Oreochromis niloticus: one gene and its partner. The protein of the gene in region 1 purifies or fractionates together with the protein of each later gene. This does not show direct contact. Links are inferred from orthologs where the notes say so. Each region holds a gene or a part of one and is shown in the gene's direction. Other genes may lie near its edges.

Region 1 (10,454 bases):
ATGGTTTTAAGTCACTACCTCATCTGAGCTGGCAGTGAAAGCACTAGTAGTCAGGTCCTTGAAGAGCACCATAGCTACAGTTCTTTGTTTCATTCATTGTGCGATCCAGGTTCCCTTCTGAATCTGGCAAAGCATCCAGCCTCCACAGTCCAGATCCTTGGAGCAGAGAAGGCTCTTTTTAGAGCCCTGAAGACGCGCAAAGACACACCCAAGTATGGTCTCATATACCATGCTTCTCTAGTGGGCCAGACCACTGCTAAGAACAAGGGCAAGGTATGTTCTTAGAGTGTGATATGTGACTGAATAATGGTTGGTGGCCAAAATGTGAAGCTGTCAACTCAGGCTTTGGTTTTCTGTAATGCCATTGCAGATTTCCAGGATGCTGGCAGCTAAAGCAGCCCTGGCTATTCGCTATGACGCTCTCGGAGAAGACACAAATGCAGAAATGGGTGCAGAGAACCGTGCCAAGCTGGAGGCCAGACTACGTCAGTTGGAAGATAAGGGAGTAAGTACAGCTACAACCCCTATTCCTGAAAAGTTGGGATGCTATTTAACCTCCTGGGACCTGGCGTCCACGTATGTGGACATCACATTTTGGGTTGTCTAGACCAAAATACTAAATTTTGCTCTGCAAGGGCCTGATATCCACTTACGAGGACATTATACTGCCATTGTTCTATCGAAATTTAAAACAAATGTCCTCATAGGGCTGAGTGATATGGCCTAAAATCCATATCACAGTATAATTTGAAGCATGTGTGGTAACGATATATATCACGATATATTCTTTTCTTCTGTATAACGTATTTTACACACTATAAGGCACACTTAAAATCCTTTAATTTTCTCAAAAATCGACAGTGTGCCTTATGTATGAATTCTGGTTGTGCTTACTGACCTCGAACCGATTTTATGTGGTTCACGGCGCTCAGAAATCGGTCAAAAAATGTTTTAATACGACTTTGGTAAGCTATGAAGGCGCACCGCTTGATGGATTGCCGGAGCATTACGGCTGCTGTAGTCAGGAGCCTTGTGGAGTAATCTGGGTCCCAAACTCTGTCTACTTCAGGTCCCAAAGTCAAACAAACACTGCGGCATCGCTGAGAGTTAAAAACTGTGTAAATTCTTTCATTTTTAATAAAATGATCAGTGTTGCTGCTTTACCAGGTGTAACAATTAAGTTTAACATCCAGGCATCCATGAAAACAGAATTTATTAAATTCAACGGAGTTAGAAGTTAGCGGAAGTTAGCTCGCTAGTTTCCACCTAAACATGATATAGCATGTTCTGACTGAGATTTCTGAAAAAATTAAAATGTACAGCTCTGCTGTCACTTCCAACATAAATGAAGGGAGAAAATTAAACAGCAGTGACGTTGGTAGGGTTACTGAAGTTGGACTAGCTGGTATATAATGATGTGCTACGTGATTGCTAGCAAAACAGCTACGTTAGCATAACATTAGCACAGTGAAGCTGAAGGATGAATGCCAACTTTTTTCCACTCGATTAAAGTTTACATGAGGGTTTCTGGTGGTTAGGGACTAATGCAATTGCATGGCAGAATGCTGTAAACGGAGCAAACTTCAGCCAGGAGAACAACAGAGCTAATCCATCCACGATATGAGGTTAGTCATTACTATACTGCAACAACATGGGAATAGAGCAGCTGCGAGAGAATTCAGCATTAATGAATCAATGGTACGGAAGTGGAGGAAGCGCAGTTTTTGGCTTTCCCCATGTTCCAAAAGTGCTTTGTCTCTTTGCTATTACTGTCGCCTGGCATAATTTGGAGATGATATTGTTTGCAGCGTATACCTTTCAGTATTGATGGTGCCTCTCCAGATGTGACAGTTGCATAACCATTAATCCATTCCTGTACTATCAGAGATGCAGGCTTTTGACCGTAGTGCTGATAAGAAGCCACATGGCCTCTCGTCCCTATAGTTCACAGGACTTGGTATCCCTATTTACCAGAAAGAACTGCAAATTTGATTTGTCTGATCACAGGACAGTTTCTCGTTTTGCTTTAGTCTGAACATTAGCCCTAAGAACACAACATCAGTTCTGGGTTATGTTCACAAATGTGGCTGTACCTCAGGAGGTGGAGCAGGTCATCTACTAATTGGACGGTTCGCCATTCCATGTCTGGCTGCTCCAGTCTCCCCAATCCTTGAGGAAGATACTAAATGCAAGTAGTATCTTGGTCCAATAGTGCACTTTGAGTGTCCAGGGAGAAAAGTGCTATATGCAAACTGTAATGGAGTTTTGTATTTCTTCTGAATCTGTTATCCTGGTAAAATCCCTGTTTTTGTTATTTTTTTCCCCTCCTTTAGTCACTGAATCCACATTTTTCTTTTCAGATTCGAAGAATCAGTGGAACAGGCAAAGCAATGGCAAAGGCAGATAAATACCAGCACAAGAGGTGAGTAGTCACTTGCAGCTCCTTTGCAGATTTCCACATCTATATATGTAAGGTGGTTAATGCCTGCTACAACTTTTCCTCCACAGTGAAGTGAGAATTTATGATCCGTCAGGTGATTCTACGATTCCGTCCACATCGAAGAAGAGGAAGTTTGAGGAGGTAGAAGAAGAGGATGCCACAGAGCCCACGACACCAGCAGTCAAACCCAAAAAGGCAAAACAGGAGTTGGCAATAGAAGGTGAGTGAGTTTGGAATCAATCATTTGCCTCCTGTGCATTTGGATCTGTGATGCTGATAGTGTTCTGGCTCTGTGTTTAGAAGAAGAACAAGCAGAAACATCAGCGGCAGCAGAGGAGACCCCAAAGAAAAAGAAGAAGAAAAAGAAGGATAAGAAAGCAGAGGAGAAAATGGAAGAACCAAAGGAAGAAGAGGTGGTAGCAGTTACTGAGGTAAGATGGAAGCTAAAGTTTTAAAATTATCCCTTTTTTTTTCTTCTTCTTCTTCTGTAATGACACCCCTCTCTCTCTCTCCAGACAACAGAGAAGAAGAAAAAAAAGAAAAAGAAGGTAAAAGAGGAGCAGGAAGAAGATTGAAAGGAGAGGAGAGTGTAAATAGTTTTGTTTTTTTGTCTTTTATTTTTATTATTCAATTATATTTTCTGAGGACAATACAGTATTGAGTGCCTGTCTGTGGACATCTGAAAAGAAGTTCACAGTAAACAGAGTAATCATTAGATCTCATTCTTTTCTGTTGTCATAAAGAAACTGTACAATAAGTCTTTTTTTCTTTTTTCTTTTTCTTTTTTTTGAAGATGCTTAAGCTTAATCTACCAAAAGCCTGTGTAGACGAGCATTTGTTTTATTCACAAAGAGATCTAATTGAGTCATGAGTTCAGTACAGATTTCCCAGTTCTCTTGTGATAAACAAAACCAGGTGAAATAAAACCTTTTGCTCAAATGCTGAGTGTGTGTGTGTGTGTGTGTTTGTTTGTTTTTTGCACAAATAGGTGCATCCAGCAGGGGTGGGAAGTAATTAAGTACAAATACTTCACTTATTGTACTAACTAGTTTTAGCTGTCTGTACTTGAGTATTTATTTTTCTGACTACTTTTACTCCCTATATTTTTCCACAAAACTTTCTACTTATATTTTCAAAACAGATTTGTTACTTTAGGTTCAGTGGTATCATCTAAAGTGTTATAAGTGAGTTTTTTCTAAGTAGCATGTAATTTCAAATTCAACATTTTTATCAGCTAAACAAATGTCAGCAAACTGTGTGAACACAGTGTGTCTGCTAGCTAAAGGTACAGCTGCTGGGTTTCCCAGGGAGAGAAAAGAGTAACTTCACTCAGAGATAGAAAAAGATATAGGATAAGTTTTTTTTTTTTTTTTTTTTTAAGCCTCATGCCCAGTACATTTGAACTTGAATCAAAGTGTTTGGGAAAGTGTCAAATTTTGGTCCTATAACATGTGAGGGTAGGGTGTCCCACCTCATATCCTGACATAGTCATAGGACTGCATGGTGTGAGAACGTGTTTGCTCTAGTAATTATATTTTTAATGACTTGAACTCTAAATAAAAGAAAAAAGAAACGTGAGTGTAAAGATACAACATTGTGTGGATGACCAAATGGTGCCATTTAAGGGCAAGCAAATTCAAGCAGTACCTAACCAGTAAATTAAGAAAACAGAATTTGAAAATATTAGTCCTTGCTGTATCAATTCAAAAAATGAAGCAAGGTGGCAGGTGGTCGCCCCTCCCTGAGTCTGGTTCTCCTGGAGCTTTTATCCTGTTAAAAGGGAGTTTTTCATTCCTCCTGTAGCCAAGTGCTTGATTTTAGGGGGCCGTCAGAGTTTTCTCTGTATTGTTGTGGGTTCATACATTAGAATATAATCCACCTTGAGGGAATTTCTGTTGTGATTTGGCGGAATACAAGTGAAATTGCATTAACTCGAATAAGGCAAGATGCATGTGTATAAAGTGAATTGTGCACCTCTGCTTTACAGCACAGAAGAACTGTTAAGAAAAGTTTCACACACTGTCAGAGAATGACAGCAAAATCTCACAACATGAGAATCTATATTCGAACCTAAGCCTGTATCAAGCCATACTTAGTTATTTGTTTCAAAACTGGTTGACATTTTTTGAATACTTAAAAAATATATTTTTCGCTTTCTAACAGCTGTGTAATTATTTATGAGTTAATAATTTTCTCTGTTGATGTATGCCACTGTTGGAGAGGGGTTGTCTGAAATTTAAAATGATTTATTTTGGCACTAAAATGGTCCAAAATGACTCAGATCATTTTCAGCATGTACCATCAAAATGTGTGCAGTAGAGGGTTAAGGCCACATTAAGGAAAATAAATATTGTTGTTCATTTTGAGAATAAAGTCCAAATATTGAGATTAAAGTTGAAAGTGTATTTTGAGGAAAAGTCAAATTGTGGAGATTACAGTTGTTTCAAGACAAACCATACTTCAGAATCAGAATCAGAATCGGTAACAAGAAAGTAAAATTATTTCTCTTTTAGCTCATAGACACAGTGTGGTGATCAGTATAAAGACATTAAGAAGATGGTGTAGAAAGCTGGATCTGGTTAGATGGAAAACAAAGGAAATGGCTCTTAATGGACAGATGCAAGGTTATTGATGATTACACCCTCATGTAATAAAGATGATGTGTCAAAAGACAGCTGATCAGTTTGTTTCACTAAGCTATCTAAACAATGAATTGTAATGGGTATAGCAGTTTGTCTTGAAACAACAATGGCTTCACATGTCAACTTTTTTTCTCAAAATAGATGTTCGACTTAATCTCGAAATTTTTACTTTACTCTCAAAATGATGAACAATATATTTTTTTCTTAATGTGGCCCCAATAATCCCCCCACCTGCTGAATCCCACCGTAACCCCTGACTTTTCTTATTTTACTGTTTAGGTGTGGAGGCAAAGTCACCCTCTACAATGTAGGCAATAGAAAATAGGTATAAAATGTACCCAAACCGAGTACATTAATTTGAATCAAAATTTAAATTACAATAATATTTATATTTTCATTTTCTAATATTATTTTATTATTACATTTATATAGTATAAGGTTCAGTTACCTTTGTACAAAAATGATTATAAAAATTTTCCTTCATGGAGCTCATTTTTACTTTCTTTCTTTGAGTACATTTCGGAGTTTGTACTTTTGCTTTAGTAAAGAATTTAAATTTTCAATTAGGCAACAAACATTTAAACCCTTTGAAGCTCTCATTACATGTAAAGGCGATATACTCAGACCTGATGCTTTGGACTCATGTTTAAACTCATGTGCTAATACAGAGTATTGTCAGGTGAAGCTAACCTTTGTTTTTATTGATTAAAAGTGCTGATAAGCTATCAGAAGTTATGACGAAACTTTGATATTAGTTATTTTTGTTCACCCAATGTAAATAAAAAATATTATTTCTATTAAATTCCACCGTGTATACTGACATTCACATCGATGAATGTAAATAGCAGTCTCTAGATCTTTTAGGTCATTATTAATACAAATATTTTACATTGAGGTTCATCTAATCATCGTAACAACTGGTTCGTAGAGGATTTATCATTAAAACATTGCCGATGAGTCCTGCCATCCTAAGGAAGTCCGAACTCCCGAGTGACCGAGCTTGGGAGAAGCGGAAGCAAAGTTCGCATACTGGCCAGGCGTCACTAGACGAACACAGAGCATCTACTTTTCGTATTGCAGTGGTTTGTTTCGTACCACATGGCATAACTGCACGAGAAGCGCGTTATGAGGATTCCTTGTATTTTAATATTCTAGAGCTCGTGGTTGGCAAAATAAGCACAAAATGTCTCAGATACAGGCAAGATTCTTCACAGAAGACAAAAGGTGAGGTTTAAAAGAAAAAAAAAAACCTCAACAGAAAATGACAAACAAGCAAGCGAGCTAGCTAACTTGCTAGCTGTAATTTAGAGTAAACAGCATCGTCTCATTGTGGGATGTTCTGTCTTTTCCTCTTGCAAATAAATTCTTTTTTTATCTGTAGTTCTGATCGTGGCTAATTCGTAGCTATGTTGTTTTTTTTTTTTAAAATGCTAATGCTAACAGTGTGAAGTTATGTAGACTCCGGTAGCAGCTAAAATGTGTCTATCTCTGTAGGTACGTTGTAGATGATGTCCCGTTCTCCATCCCAGCTGCATCCGAAGTGCAGGAACTCAGCAATGTAATCAACAAGCTGCTGGAAGCTAAAAATGGTAAGCTCACTTTATCATAGGCACACAAACTATTCCCCACCTCCTTTACAATTCAGCCTCCAGCTGCAGAACTGTAAACACAGATTAAATAGCATTATAATCCTAATCCTCAATCACAGGGGCGGATCTACATATGGTGGCACCGCATGGCGGATCTACAGGGGTGGCATGGGGTGGCATGCCCTAAAATATTCTCTTGCCACCCTAGTTTTGCATATGACAGTGTTGTTTATTAAAATAAGATAGCATTAACACTTCGAGCCTAGCTAAAATTAACATTGAATATGAATTCTAAAACTGAATTTAGATCAACTTTATTTCTTGTTGTCCATAGCAACCGATGCTTACGATTGTGCCAGAGTACATTTTGAATCAATGCCATGGGCATTTTTAGATTTCACACAGGCGTTGATTGTTACACTCTGGGGTCGATGGACACACCTCATCTCCAAATCACCTGACCGATTTAAGATGCCATAGCAACAAGCTGCAGCCACGTTGAGTCTCCATTCAACTTGTGTTGAAAGTTCAGACTTCAAACTATACACCAGTTTTTAAATTTTATTGATAGGCCACTAAATCCAGAGCTACGATCATAAAAATACACGTGATGCTTTCTTCTACTATCATCACATTTAGTGTGGGATGAAATGGTAAAAAGTGTGTTTTCTAAGGACGGCACAAAAAAAGTTCAGGAAAAAATGCCACCCCTTTTGTATTGGTGTAAAAGTGTACCATATTGACCAACAAAAAAAATATTGTCAACACATGGGATTTGGTTATTTTGGAAGGGGTGAATGTTTTCAGAATGACGGCTGTGGGAGAGAGAAAGAGAGAGCGAGTGTCTCCAGGTGAAGAACAGACGGAGTGATGCACCTCCTGCTGTCAGGCCTGCAGGGTTTAGGCCTGTGGTGTTCTCCTCTCTCTTGTGGCAGACAAAATATTTTTTGCACTGGCGCAAATACTGTGTGTGTCACCTTTTTGTGGCACCTGATTGTTCTGTAAATTTAGTTTTAGTAGTATTTTTAATTGGTTGCACTATATATATATATATATATATGTGTGTGTGTGTGTGTGTGTGTGTGTCAAATTTAGTCCTTATCACAGACTGTACTTGTAAAATTCTCCAGATAATTTATTTGGTTCTCTTCACAGCTTCTCACAGTAAAGTGGAGTTTGACTTCCTGGTCAGGGGTCAGTTCCTGCGAACCTCACTGTCAGCTCACATGGAGACAGAGAGTATATTAACGGTATGGCCTGCTATAGTGCTTAAACTCGTATGGATATATTGTATAAAGCGAGTCATAAGCATCCACATGAGTAAAACAACATTAACCAGATGTTTTACTCTGTTTGCCCGTGTCTCAGGAAGAAGTTGTGGAGATAGAATACGTGGAGCGGATCACGGCCCCAGAACCCGAGGAGTGCATGATGCATGATGACTGGATTAGCTCTGCAGATGCTGATGCTGAATGGTAAGATGGTTGAGAGCAGATCATTAGTGTGCTTTTTATTAAGTGGGAAATTAGCTCAGCAAAGATTCAGTTGTGATATGTTCATATTTTCTTTTGTCTTCTTGGTTGTTCATTAGCTAAACAAAAGTCTTAAACCGCCCCTTATTCTTTACCTTTTACTTCCAGGGAGCCAGACTTTCTATTCCTTTTAAAGTGGTCCAGAGCAATAGTGCTGCAGGCTTTCTGAAAGTCTTGTCTATTTTTTCTTTGGACATTGGCTTCTTTTTCAGTTCAGTTCTTGTACTTTGACCATAAAGGGATTAACCAGTGCTGTATACATAACGGACAACATGGCAAAGAACCAGAAGAAGCTTGAAGCTTCTATATGAAAATATTGTGAAACTGAAGATGTTCGAGCAGAGGGTTCATAATGATTTGAAAATGGAATGACCCTTATTTTTTCCCCTGCAGGATCTTAACAGGGTCATACGACAAGACTGCCAGAATTTGGTCTACTGAGGGCAAGCCTGTGATGACTGTGCCTGGACATACAGATGTGGTCAAAGACGTAGCCTGGGTCAAAAGAGGTGAGTGGGACAAAATGAAACAGACAAGTACTGCTATGTTAATAGTCAAAGGCTTTATTAAGTCCTCTTTGTGGATGTTTTCTGTGTAGAGGGTCTGACCTCTCTGCTTCTGACGGCCTCTCTGGACCAAACCGTGTTACTGTGGGAGTGGAACTCTGAGAGAAACAAGGTGGAAGCCAGACATTGCTGTCGTGGACACGCGGGGAGCGTTGACACCATTTCTGTAGACCCCACAGGAACGAAGGTAAGGTTGGAGAGGGCAAGACAAAAACTCAAAAGACAACAAAGAGTGCTGCGATTAATGACTTTGGATGTTTGTGGTAAACACTTTCAGTTCTGCAGTGGCTCTTGGGACAAAATGTTGAAGATCTGGTCAGCAGGTATGATCCCAGAATGATTCAAGGACTCTTTATTGTTAAAAAAGGTATTGTTGTGAGGCTGCTACAAACTATATTTCCTGTGCTGTCAGTGCCTACAGATGAGCAGGATGAGATCGAGGAGCCGGCTGACAGACCGAGGAAAAAACAGAAGACTCAGCAGCTCGGCCTGACCAGGGTGAGTGCACAACCAGAGTATGATTGACTGGAGAATAAGCCCGCTAAGTCATTGCAAAATGAGTTGGGGTTTTTTGTTTTGTTTGTTTTTTGACACAGACTCCCTTGATGACATTGTCGGGACACAGCGAGGCAGTGTCATCTGTCCTGTGGTGTGACAGTGAGGAGGTTTGTAGCGCGTCTTGGGACCACACCATCCGCATATGGGACGTCGATACTGGAGGGATGAAAACTACGTTGGTGAGAAAAATAGAAAGTGACTGAATTAGCAATAATAAAGACTTTTGGTTGTTTCATGTGACAGATTAATGAGCATCATCCTACATCGTGGCTCAAGAGTTGGCAGTTTGTCTTGTAATCGGAAGGTTGCCTGTTCAAGCCCGATTTCTCCGACAGTCTTGGTCGTTGTGTCCTTGGGCAAGACACTTCACCCGTTGCCTACTGGTGGTGGTCAGAGGGGCCCGGTGGCGCCAGTGTCCGGCAGCCTCGCCTCTGTCAGTTCGCCCCAGGGCAGCTGTGGCTACAATGTAGCTTGCCATCACCAGTGTGTGAATGCGTGGATGACTGAATGTAGTGTAAAGCCTTTGGGGTCCATAGGGACTAAGTAAAGCGCTATACAAATACAGGCCATTTACCATTTACAGGCTTTTATTTTGTTAGCTATGTCACAGAGGGTATAAGGTATCACAGGTATAAATGATAAAAAGACTCAGAGCCACAATTTGACTTGTTTCTTCAGTGTATGAGTGATTTAAAATGCCTATAATAGAGGAAATCAAACCAGTGAAATACACTACGTATTACTGCTATATGCCTGTGTGTAGTGGATGTATGCAATGCGTGTCCTTAAAATATTTACCCAACCCTAAGATAAATCTTAGGGTTACAGACTAATTCAAAACTCAGTTAACGGCTCAAATCGTTTGAAATAGCATATTTATCAACCACCAAGTTTACCTTTTGTTATCATATACTCAGTTTTCCAGTATTTACCAGTTTGACTTTTTCTTTTCACAGACTGGCAGCAAAGTGTTTAACTGTATTTCCTACTCACCTTTGTGTCGACGGCTAGCCTCAGGTAGCACCGATAGACACATCCGACTGTGGGACCCTCGCACCAAAGGTACAACTGTTCTAAATGTCACAGGGATCTATGTGTTGACTTTTGTTGTTTGTCACTCTTGTTAT
Region 2 (9,490 bases), on another chromosome or scaffold:
GGATGCCAGCGGCTTACCTGCAAACACAACAAATCTTACTTGTTTCCCATCCAGGAATAGCCTCTACTCCAGTTACATCACCAATACCACATCCCGTTTCCTCACCGCTGATGTATGACAGTCTGAAGCCTTTTCCCGTCAGGCTGTCATCCGAGTGGAAGTGGATCCACAAATGGTCCTGAGAGGAGATGTAGGGTGGTGGCAAGGAGGAGCCACAAACCCGGAGTCCATCCAGGTTCCTGTAGCTGCTGATGGACATCCAGTCTGAGGTGCAGCGATGGGAACCCTGTAGGTCAAAGTCCTGGAAGCTGCAAAGACAGAACAGGGAGGGCATCATGAGAGCAAAGATGGGGTTAAAATGAGGATTTGGTTGTTGCTTTTTACTCTGTGACCTGATGTGGATGTGGCAGGTGTAACTATGGAGACAGTAAGTGCAGTACCTGATGGTGATGGCATCTCCAGGTCGTGCCCTGATATTCCAGCTGCAGTTCATTCGGGCTGGATACTGGAAGGGCCATCCGGGGCTGGTGATTATACCGCTGGATGCCCGCAGGAGCTCTGCCACGTCACTGCAGGCTGGGGGGCAGGGTCGGACTGTTAGTGTGACACTGTGTGTTTGTGGGTGTGTGTGTGCCATTAGTGCTGCTCTGATGTCATGAATGTGACCTCACCATTAGAAATCCCTGACACATAGACATTTTCATTCCTCTGAGAGGCAGAAAAGCATCCTGGGGAAAAAAAACACAACAACACGTGGTTAGAAGTGATTTCATATAATAATAATAATGTAATAATGTATACTTTATTGATCCCCGTGGAGAATTTCCTCTCATCATTTAACCCATTCACTCAGTGAAGCAGTGGGCAGCCACTGGCTGCCCGGTACGCAGTGTGTAGGGACGGTACCTTGCTCAGGGGTACCTCAGGGTAGCTGTTCAGTCGATTCGAACCCTCGACCTTCTGATCATGGGGCCACCACTCTACCTACTGAGCTATCCCAGCTATATTGATAACAGGGTGACATACAGCTGATGAACAGCTGGATAATGCTGTTCCTTAGTCTGTTAATTTTTGTCTTTATGGATCTGAAATGTCTGCCTGAAGGTAGATGTTGAAACAGTACATGACCAGAGTGCGATGGGTCTTGAAGGAATTTGTTAATCTTCCTGAGAAAAGAGGAGGAGAGGACATCTGACTATCCGCTAGGCAACCTGTACAACTCTGCGTAATGCTCTCTTCTGTGCTCCTGTGCAGCTGGAAAACCATGCACAGAGACAGTATGCCAGGTGATCAGGCTGATTCATGAGCCGCTTATTTGTACATGTTTAGATCATGGACTCAGATTATCCCCACCCTTTTTATAAAAATGGCTTGACAGTGTGATGAAAACGCTTGCCTCTGTCCCCCTTGAAGGTCAGATAAGGACTTTTGCAATCAGTTTACAATTATATTATGAAGCTTTGAGAGTTTTTGCTGCAGCCATCTTGCTGTTTTAAAACCACATCTGAAGAGTGAGAGCTGGAGCTCACTGTGAAACTGCCGCATCATTGGCTAATGACCTGCCAATCAGTCATTAGCATATCCTTAGTAATCAGGACTTCATATTTAAATCACTCAAACAAGTGACTGAGCCCCTAAACTAATCGGGAACATCTTTACGGAGGTCAGAGGTCAGGTTTCACACAGACTTGTATAGAACTACAGGTAATTGGCCTTGGTGACCATTAGAAAAAAGAATGCATGTTTTGCTTTTCACATACACAAGCTTGGGCCATCGTTTATCCTGTCTGTGGTCTCAACACAGTGTTCTACATCCAGCAAGTTCTTGTTAAATGTTACATGTAAAAAAGACATAAAGTTAAACAGGATGGATAAAATGTTGAAGGAAGATAGCAGATGATACTTAATGGGAGGACTCTATTTTGAAAATTTGGCATCTTAAAGAATGCTCAATCTTGCAGGGTCAAATAGCTGGCCAATGCTCAACATTGTTAATTTTCAAAAAATGATAATCAAATGTTACAAGTTTGACCACCAGGGGTGCTGTTATGCCAGTTTTAGTGTAGTTGTGTCATAAAGCAGTCTAAGGTCAAGTGTTGCAGTGGTTACAGCTGTTACAGGAAGAAGGATCAGACTTCCTGTCCTTTCTGTGGTATCTGTTCTCCTACAGACTAAAGAAAAGCTTGCTGGTCAACTGGTGATTCTTATTGGTGGTAAGTGCTAGCCCTGTGACGGACAGGGAACCTAGTCAGGTGTACCAGCCTGTCATTCTGACTCCAGCCCAAAGTGGTTAAGAGAAGGTGGTCCCTGTTAAGATACTTGTGAAGCCCTGATCACTTACATAGACCGTTTCATTATCATGATTGGTATTATTACTGAACCATGCTCAACATCTTCAAGCTTTAATAGAAACTGATTGATATCTGCCAACTGCTATGCTTACTACACAGAAGAAATGAAGAATGACTGTAGTGACACCTGTCCATTGATCACAGCAGACCAAATGTAAAGTAATCTGTAAGAGCCATTTCCAGCTGTTCTGAGCCACCACTAGATGTTCTGTCCTTCCACATCTGCCTCTCCATTGTACTTCCTCTTTCTCTACTGGTGGATTCAGAGCAGACTGGATGGTGCAGTAAGATCTGTACTGTGAAATATTACAGATTTAGGTCCAGGTTTTTGGGACATAAAATCTTGGTGATAATAAGTGCCCACAATCACTTCTTGCCACATGTCCATGTTAAACATTAAATTAAGTAACATTAGCTTGTGATACTCTGTCCTTAAATGGTTACAGGTGTACAGCTCTGCCCTCCTGCAATCTTCCAGAACCACTTTATTCAAGAGAAAGTAAGTTGTCAGGAAGGGGGAAGTCTTAAAGAGACCGGACCCGGCGTCATCAGAACAAAACACAAGTGTACACACTTGAAAACAGGTCAGTCTGCACTCACCTGTGAGGAGGAGGAGGCAAACCACACCCTGCCTGCAGTCTGTTTTGAGGGCCATGATAACCCTGATGTTCTGATGAAGATAATGGTGAAGAGTCCAAGGTCACAGAGCTGAGCGCTGCATGTCAGCTGTTAGCAGACCTCGGCTCCGAACCGAGCGGCTACCGAGGATAACGGAGCTCCCCGATAAACCCGGCATTCAATTAACACAGACGCGAGCCGCTGAACGTGACGTTAACGCGGAATCGAGCTGTGCGGGGGGTACGCAGCGGGACATACTGCGAAGAACCTCGGTTAGCTCGGAAACAAAGACCCGCTAGCTGCCGACTAACAGGCTGACGCTAAGAACACCGGCCCGTTAGCTTCAACATGCTAACGGGACAGAGTCATCCGACCCAGAGGGGGGGGGGGCGAACCGGGTCAATCCGAGCTCACGGGACCTTCACCGAGTCAGCAGCACTACTGTCGATCTGATAGAAGTCGTGAGCGCATTTCCGTGCGAAGCTGTTAGGTTTTAGCTTCCGTCGAGCCGAACAACAACAACAGACCGCAGAGAGAATCCCCGCCCCTTTGACAGTGGCGTCACTAACATGGCCCCGCCGTTTTTGTCATTTGTTCGTTTATGTGAACTTCCTGTTTCCTGAAGATGTCAAGGCACTTCATTAATCACAGAGCCGAACTTCCTTCAAATATTCACTACATCTATGTAGTGAACATATGGCCGTGTGTTTAGTTGAACCGGTTCTTCTAAAGCGCTTTTCTACTGCACTTGAGCACTCAATATGCCTCATACAGCAACTCATAAGCTTTACATGCTTAAGTGCTTTCTATCTAACATATCTGCATGTGTGTCAGTAACTGAGTTAGTGTGTGTGTGTGTGTGTGTGTGTGTGAGAGAGAGAGAGAGAGAGAGAGAGAGAGAGAGATTTGTCACTAACAGATGCAGTATTTGCAGAACAGAACATCTGTTGTCTGTGAACCCTCAGAGGTGCTGCAGCACTCACCTCCCCAAACACACTCACACACACACACCCTTTGCTACCCACTTTGTGCTGGACCTGCAGCCTGCAGCTGGAAGCAGTTTTTTCTAACAACTCTGAGATTTTTAATCCTCAGCTGAAACTAGCTTTTCTGTTCCACGCAGAGATCCACCTTCAGCTCTGTGAACCTGACCTGCTCTCTGGCAGCTGTTCCCTCAGACTCCTCACCTCCTGCTGCACCTGGACCAGCTAACTGACCCTGTGACTGATTTCCTCAATCATGAAATCAGAGCTCAGAGTGGAGAGAATTCATCTGCTCGAGTTTCACGAACAATAAAAAACACAGATGTTAGTTTGTTACACAAGAGCTTTAATAATGAATCAGTCATCAATATATTAGGACAGGGACCACGACTCCATCAGTGATTGATTAGCAGCTCAGATTCAAATCTCCATTCTCCATCTTTGTAGCTGAGAGACTGAGTGGACAGTCTGATTGTAATCTGATCAGGAAATTAGAACATTTCATATGAAATAAAATCACACACACAGACACTCAGGTTCATGTGCAGACTCATGTTATGGGATTTATTATATGAAAAGTGGAGCTGTACAAGAATTGAAGTACCCCTGATGGAAGGATGCGGGATGCAGGATACGGTCTCAGCGGATTTTCTTCCTGTGTGAAGACAGAGTGAAGTGAGGGCCTTAGCCTTTGATTTCAGCAACCGTTAACTAATGTAAACATGAAGAAACGCTTCAGAGATTGTCAGCTCAGATTTATTGTGTTTTGGATGACTGCATATCCTGGTTTAAAAGCTTTGACTTACTGACATATTAACACCTGGTTGGTCCATGGGCTTGATCAGTCACTGAGCTTTACTCGCTTTTAAATGACTTCATGTTCACATTGAGATTTTTTTTTTTTTACTTCCGGTTAGTATAAACATGATTTCTTTGTCTTTATTTTCTTTCCGTTGCGGATTTTCTTTCGGCAGAGGTCCTGTCACTGTAACTATGACGTTCTGCCAGAAGTTCAAGGCGTCATCAGCAGGCCCCGCCTTCAACCTGTGACGCGTGACCTTTAACCTTCGGTTTCACGTGGTTGAATCGAGGAGGACAGAAACGCGTGGAGCGAGCGGAGAGGAGAGATGAAGAAAGCAGGGGAGAAAACTGCGTTGAAGAGGAGTAAAGAAGAGGAAGAGGAACAGAACCAGGTGAGCCACACACACAGAGGAGGAAAGTGATGAAGATCTGGTAACGTGCTAGTAACGAGCTAGCATGCTAATACGGGGCAGGCTGCTGTTTAGCCCTCAGAGCAGACACGGAGCGAGACCTGAACCATGAGACCGGACCGGGGCGTTGCTGCTTCTAAAATAAACACAGAACCATCCTCTGTGCACATGTGTGATGTCAGCCTCGGGTTAGGGCTCTATTATAATGTCGGAGTTTTAAAAGGAAGACCTCCTCAACTTAGATTTTAACTCGCATTGTCGGAGCAACCTCACCGACCCAGAGCTAACGATCCAACATGGAAGCAGTGACGTAAATGGCAGCAAAACTGTAACGGAACGAGCACTGTAGCAGGTAGTGTGTCAGGGTACATGTGTACGGTTAGTGTTGCACTGAGTGACGTCAATCCTGAGCAGAGTACAGAAGGTTTTCCTGATTTTTCATGTTTTGCTTTTAGTTGCTGGTTGTTTGATTTAAGTGTGTGTGTGATCACTCACAGATTGCACAGGCAATTAGCTTGTGCTAATGATTTGTAGGTTTTATTTTTCTTATTTTTAATTACACTCACAGCCAAAAACTGATGTTTTTTTTCAATTGTGTCTCTGTAATTCTGGGTTTTCCTTCTCAGATCTTCAACTTTAACAGGAAACCTGCTGATGAAGATAAGGATGATGATTTATCAGATAGCGAGGACAGTGTCTACTCAGGCCTGGAGGATTCTGGGAGTGACGCTGAGGGGGAAGAGGGATCCGAGGAGGAGGAGGAGGATGATGATGATGACAAGGTACAGTGTCAGCAGCTAAGTTTTAACTGTATTTGTCTGACTGCTGATTGGTTGCTGTTAAGTGTCCTCAGTGTTCTGCTGCAGAACATCACCTGAACTTTGTTCCATCTGTAGATGAAGGAAAGAACGGAGGAAGAAGTGAGTGAAGAAAAGAAGGAAGATGAGTATGAACATGACTCTTCAGATGAAGAGGTGATCAAAACTTATTCATGTGTATGCTTGTCATTACTTTTCTTATGCCTGTGTCTGGTGTATTGTATGCAATTTTAGCCACATGCACACTAATAAAAAGCTGGGAGATTTTTGCTCCTGGTCCTTGCTCTTTTGTGTGTGTGTGTGTGTGTGTGTGTGTGTGTGTGTGTGTGTGTGTGTGTGTTTGCATGTGGGGGTGGATCGATGGACACATAATTGGCCAGTCTCTGGCCAGAATTTGCTGCAGTCTGTGTGTGGTTATTGAGTCAGTGATTATGAGTCTCTCACTGATCGATGGATATACTGCAATGAAAATGCAGCTGACGGTATCTTTGATGCTTAGTAGGTCAGTGCACCAGGTTCTGATGTTTGGTTTATGATGAGAGCTCACTTAAGAAACCATTCCACCTTAAACCTTTCGGTAGCTGCTTACCTTCAGTGTTGTAGACTCATGTCTATATGCAACAGATCCTGGGTGAAGCTCTGGAGTTCTCTGTTTCATGTTGACCTTTTATTAGCCTGAAAAAGCTGTGATGAAATGACATGAAAACTAGTTCATGCATTTATTATTTCTAGGTTGGACTACTGTAATTTGTGATTACTAGGATGTCCTAAAAACTCCCTGAAAAGCCTTCAATCGATCCAAAATGCTACAGTGAGAGAACTTACAAGGACTAAAAAGAGAGAGTATATTTCTCCTGTACTAGCTTCTCTTCATTGGCTCCTGTTAAATCCATATTCAAATTTAAAATCCGGCTTCTGACGTACAAGTTCTTGAATAATCAGGCCCCATCTTATCTTAATGACCTTATAGTGTACCATATCACCCCATTAGAGCACTTTGTTGTCAGACTACAGTCTTACTTGTGTTTCCTAGAGTATTTAAAAGTAGAATGGAAGACATAGCCTTAAGCTTTCCGGCCCCTCCTCTATAGAACCAGTTATCAGTTTGCATGCGGGAGACAGACACTATCTCTACTCTTAAGATTAGGCTTAAAACTTTCCTTTTTGCTAAAGCATATAGTTAGGGCTGGATCAGGTGATCCTGAATCCTTCCTTAGTTATGTTGCAATAGGTGTAGACTGCTGGGGGATTCCCATTGTTTCTTTTTTTTAGTCAACTTTTTCACTCACTTTGTGTTTATACACCCCTTTGCATTTAATTATTATTTATTAAATGCTGCGTAGTTCTGCTGGAGTTTTCTTCCTGTTAAAAGGGAGGTTTTCCTTCCCACTGTTTTCACAGCGGTTGCTCATAGGGGTATTGTTGCGGTTTTCTTTTCTTTTTTGTTTTTGTTGGGTCTTTACCTTACAATATAAAGCACCTTGAGGCAACTGTTGTTGTGATTTGGTTCTACATAAATAAAATTGCATTCAGTTGTGGGGAAAAAGGTGATTTCAGGCCTGCTGCTCTCACTGCAGTTATTATGAAGGTCTTTCAGCACTGAGATTGGAAGCATCTGGCTCACATCGCTCTAGACCCTCATCAGTGTTGTGTGTCATGCATCTGGAGTATAAAGTGAACCTCACGCACTAAAGCACACTTTAAAGATGGATCCACCCCGTTCTTATGGACTACACTGCTTTTATATGTCTGATCTGTTCCTTTGGAATTTTGCTTCATGTTATGCTGTGTTGTGTGTTGCTGGATGTGCCTTGTGATATATGTGAGCATAACTAAGACAAACCCCTGTCAACTGTCCTGTTAAAGTGGGTACAATACAACATGTTTTGTACAGGATACTTGTTCCTTTACACATGTTCTGATTGGTGCATTGGCTTCTTTTATGTTCCCCTCTCCATCCTGTGGTGGTTTCTCATGCTCACATTGTCCTTCAGGATATCAGGAACACAGTGGGGAACATTCCTGTTGAGTGGTACAAAGATTTCCCTCACATTGGGTACAATCTGGATGGGAAAAAAATCTACAAGCCAATAAGGAACAAGGATGAGCTTGATGACTTCTTGGATAAGATGGAGAACCCAGAGTACTGGTGAGCGGTTAGCATGATGCTAACTTCTTCATAGGTTTGATAGGGAATGCTGATGAAGCTAACAGCTTGCTGTCTGCAGGAGAACAGTGCATGACAAGCAGACAGGAAGTGACATTGTGCTGTCCGATGATCAGGTGGAGCTGGTGAACCGTCTGCAGAGAGGACAGTTTGGAGACGTCAACTTCAATGAGTATGAGGTATGCCCTCCTAGAGTGACACCGGGGTTCCGTTCACTAGCCTTGAGTTTACCTGCTTAATCCATCCTTTAATAGCCACATGTCCCAGACCATCTAGCAAGAAGTGAGCGTGGCTTAAAAATGTAGAACACACTGGTTACCTGTCTCTTTACACCTCTTCCGCAGCCAATGGTAGAATTCTTCAGTAGCGACGTGATGATTCATCCCATCACCAACAGACCGGCAGACAAACGCAGCTTTATCCCCTCGCTCACAGAGAAGGAGAAGGTAATGCACCTGACTCACCTGGCTTACCTGGCTGCTCTCAGCTGTAACTGTAACTCTGTAACACACCTGTCTGACTGCAGGTGTCCAAACTGGTCCATGCCATAAAAATGGGTTGGCTCAAACCCCGGCGGGTAGAGGATGATGGCAGGGGGCGGTATTACGACTTGTGGGCCAGCGAGGACTCTTCCATTCTGGCCAGACATAGGATGCACCTGCCTGCCCCCAAAATCCCTTTACCTGGTCACCATGAGTCCTACAACCCACCACCCGAGTATCTGTTCACTGACGAGGAGGTTTGTCAGTGCGTTGCCTCACCTGGTTTATGTTCAGAGGATAGATAGAACTGCATTCAAACACACCCCCGTCTGTCTGTCCTCACTTGCCTCACCTGTCTGCAGCGAGCACTGTGGGAGCAGCAGGATCCAGGAGACAGGAAGTTGCCGTTTGTTCCAAGGAAGTACTCGAGCCTCCGTCAGGTTCCAGCATTTTCTCATTTCATCCATGAGAGGTTTGAGCGCTGCCTGGACCTTTATCTGTGCCCACGACAGAGGAAGATGAGGGTAACCTTTCTCAGTCTGTCCTACTACCTGAAGCTGGAGTTGCCCTTTTAGGCATGCGGTTTAAATAATTTCCTGTTTGTCTGCATGTAGGTGAATGTGAATCCAGAGGATCTGATTCCCCAGCTTCCCAAACCAAAGGACCTTCAGCCATTTCCCACCACACAGTCGCTGGTACAACACACACACCTGAACACATGCACACAAACAAAGTGGTGAACCTTTTCTCACATCTTTATCTGTGTGTTCAGGTCTATCGAGGTCACAGCGGTCTGGTTCGCTCTATCAGTGTGTCTCCATCGGGACAGTGGCTTGCCTCAGGTAACCTCAGGTTGTCCC

The links. The genes of interacting proteins can lie anywhere in the genome.
Region 2: the proteins of wdr12 (region 1) and bop1 purify together in Homo sapiens (affinity purification with western blotting; 6 studies listed by BioGRID and IntAct, with this or other methods). This does not show direct contact. The link is inferred for Oreochromis niloticus from reciprocal best matches to the Homo sapiens genes WDR12 and BOP1.

The regions. Positions count from the first base shown.
Region 1 is NC_031986.2:736,607-747,060, forward strand, and holds the start of wdr12 (ribosome biogenesis protein wdr12), read left to right. Parts: upstream 1-6,065; 5' UTR 6,066-6,265; coding exon 6,266-6,306; intron 6,307-6,576; coding exon 6,577-6,671; intron 6,672-7,826; coding exon 7,827-7,921; intron 7,922-8,039; coding exon 8,040-8,146; intron 8,147-8,596; coding exon 8,597-8,712; intron 8,713-8,801; coding exon 8,802-8,956; intron 8,957-9,046; coding exon 9,047-9,092; intron 9,093-9,181; coding exon 9,182-9,267; intron 9,268-9,365; coding exon 9,366-9,506; intron 9,507-10,283; coding exon 10,284-10,389; intron 10,390-10,454. Other genes in the region: nop58 (nucleolar protein 58), read left to right, coding at 110-273, 371-505, 2,361-2,422, 2,509-2,660, 2,741-2,871, 2,956-3,015.
Region 2 is NC_031985.2:36,129,428-36,138,917, reverse strand, and holds the start of bop1 (ribosome biogenesis protein bop1), read left to right. Parts: upstream 1-4,967; 5' UTR 4,968-5,079; coding exon 5,080-5,145; intron 5,146-5,789; coding exon 5,790-5,945; intron 5,946-6,059; coding exon 6,060-6,137; intron 6,138-7,975; coding exon 7,976-8,130; intron 8,131-8,209; coding exon 8,210-8,327; intron 8,328-8,492; coding exon 8,493-8,594; intron 8,595-8,674; coding exon 8,675-8,887; intron 8,888-8,992; coding exon 8,993-9,154; intron 9,155-9,244; coding exon 9,245-9,325; intron 9,326-9,402; coding exon 9,403-9,472; intron 9,473-9,490. Other genes in the region: lrp12 (low-density lipoprotein receptor-related protein 12), read right to left, coding at 1-17, 106-308, 441-576, 672-728, 2,952-3,006. UniProt on the Homo sapiens protein: Component of the PeBoW complex, which is required for maturation of 28S and 5.8S ribosomal RNAs and formation of the 60S ribosome.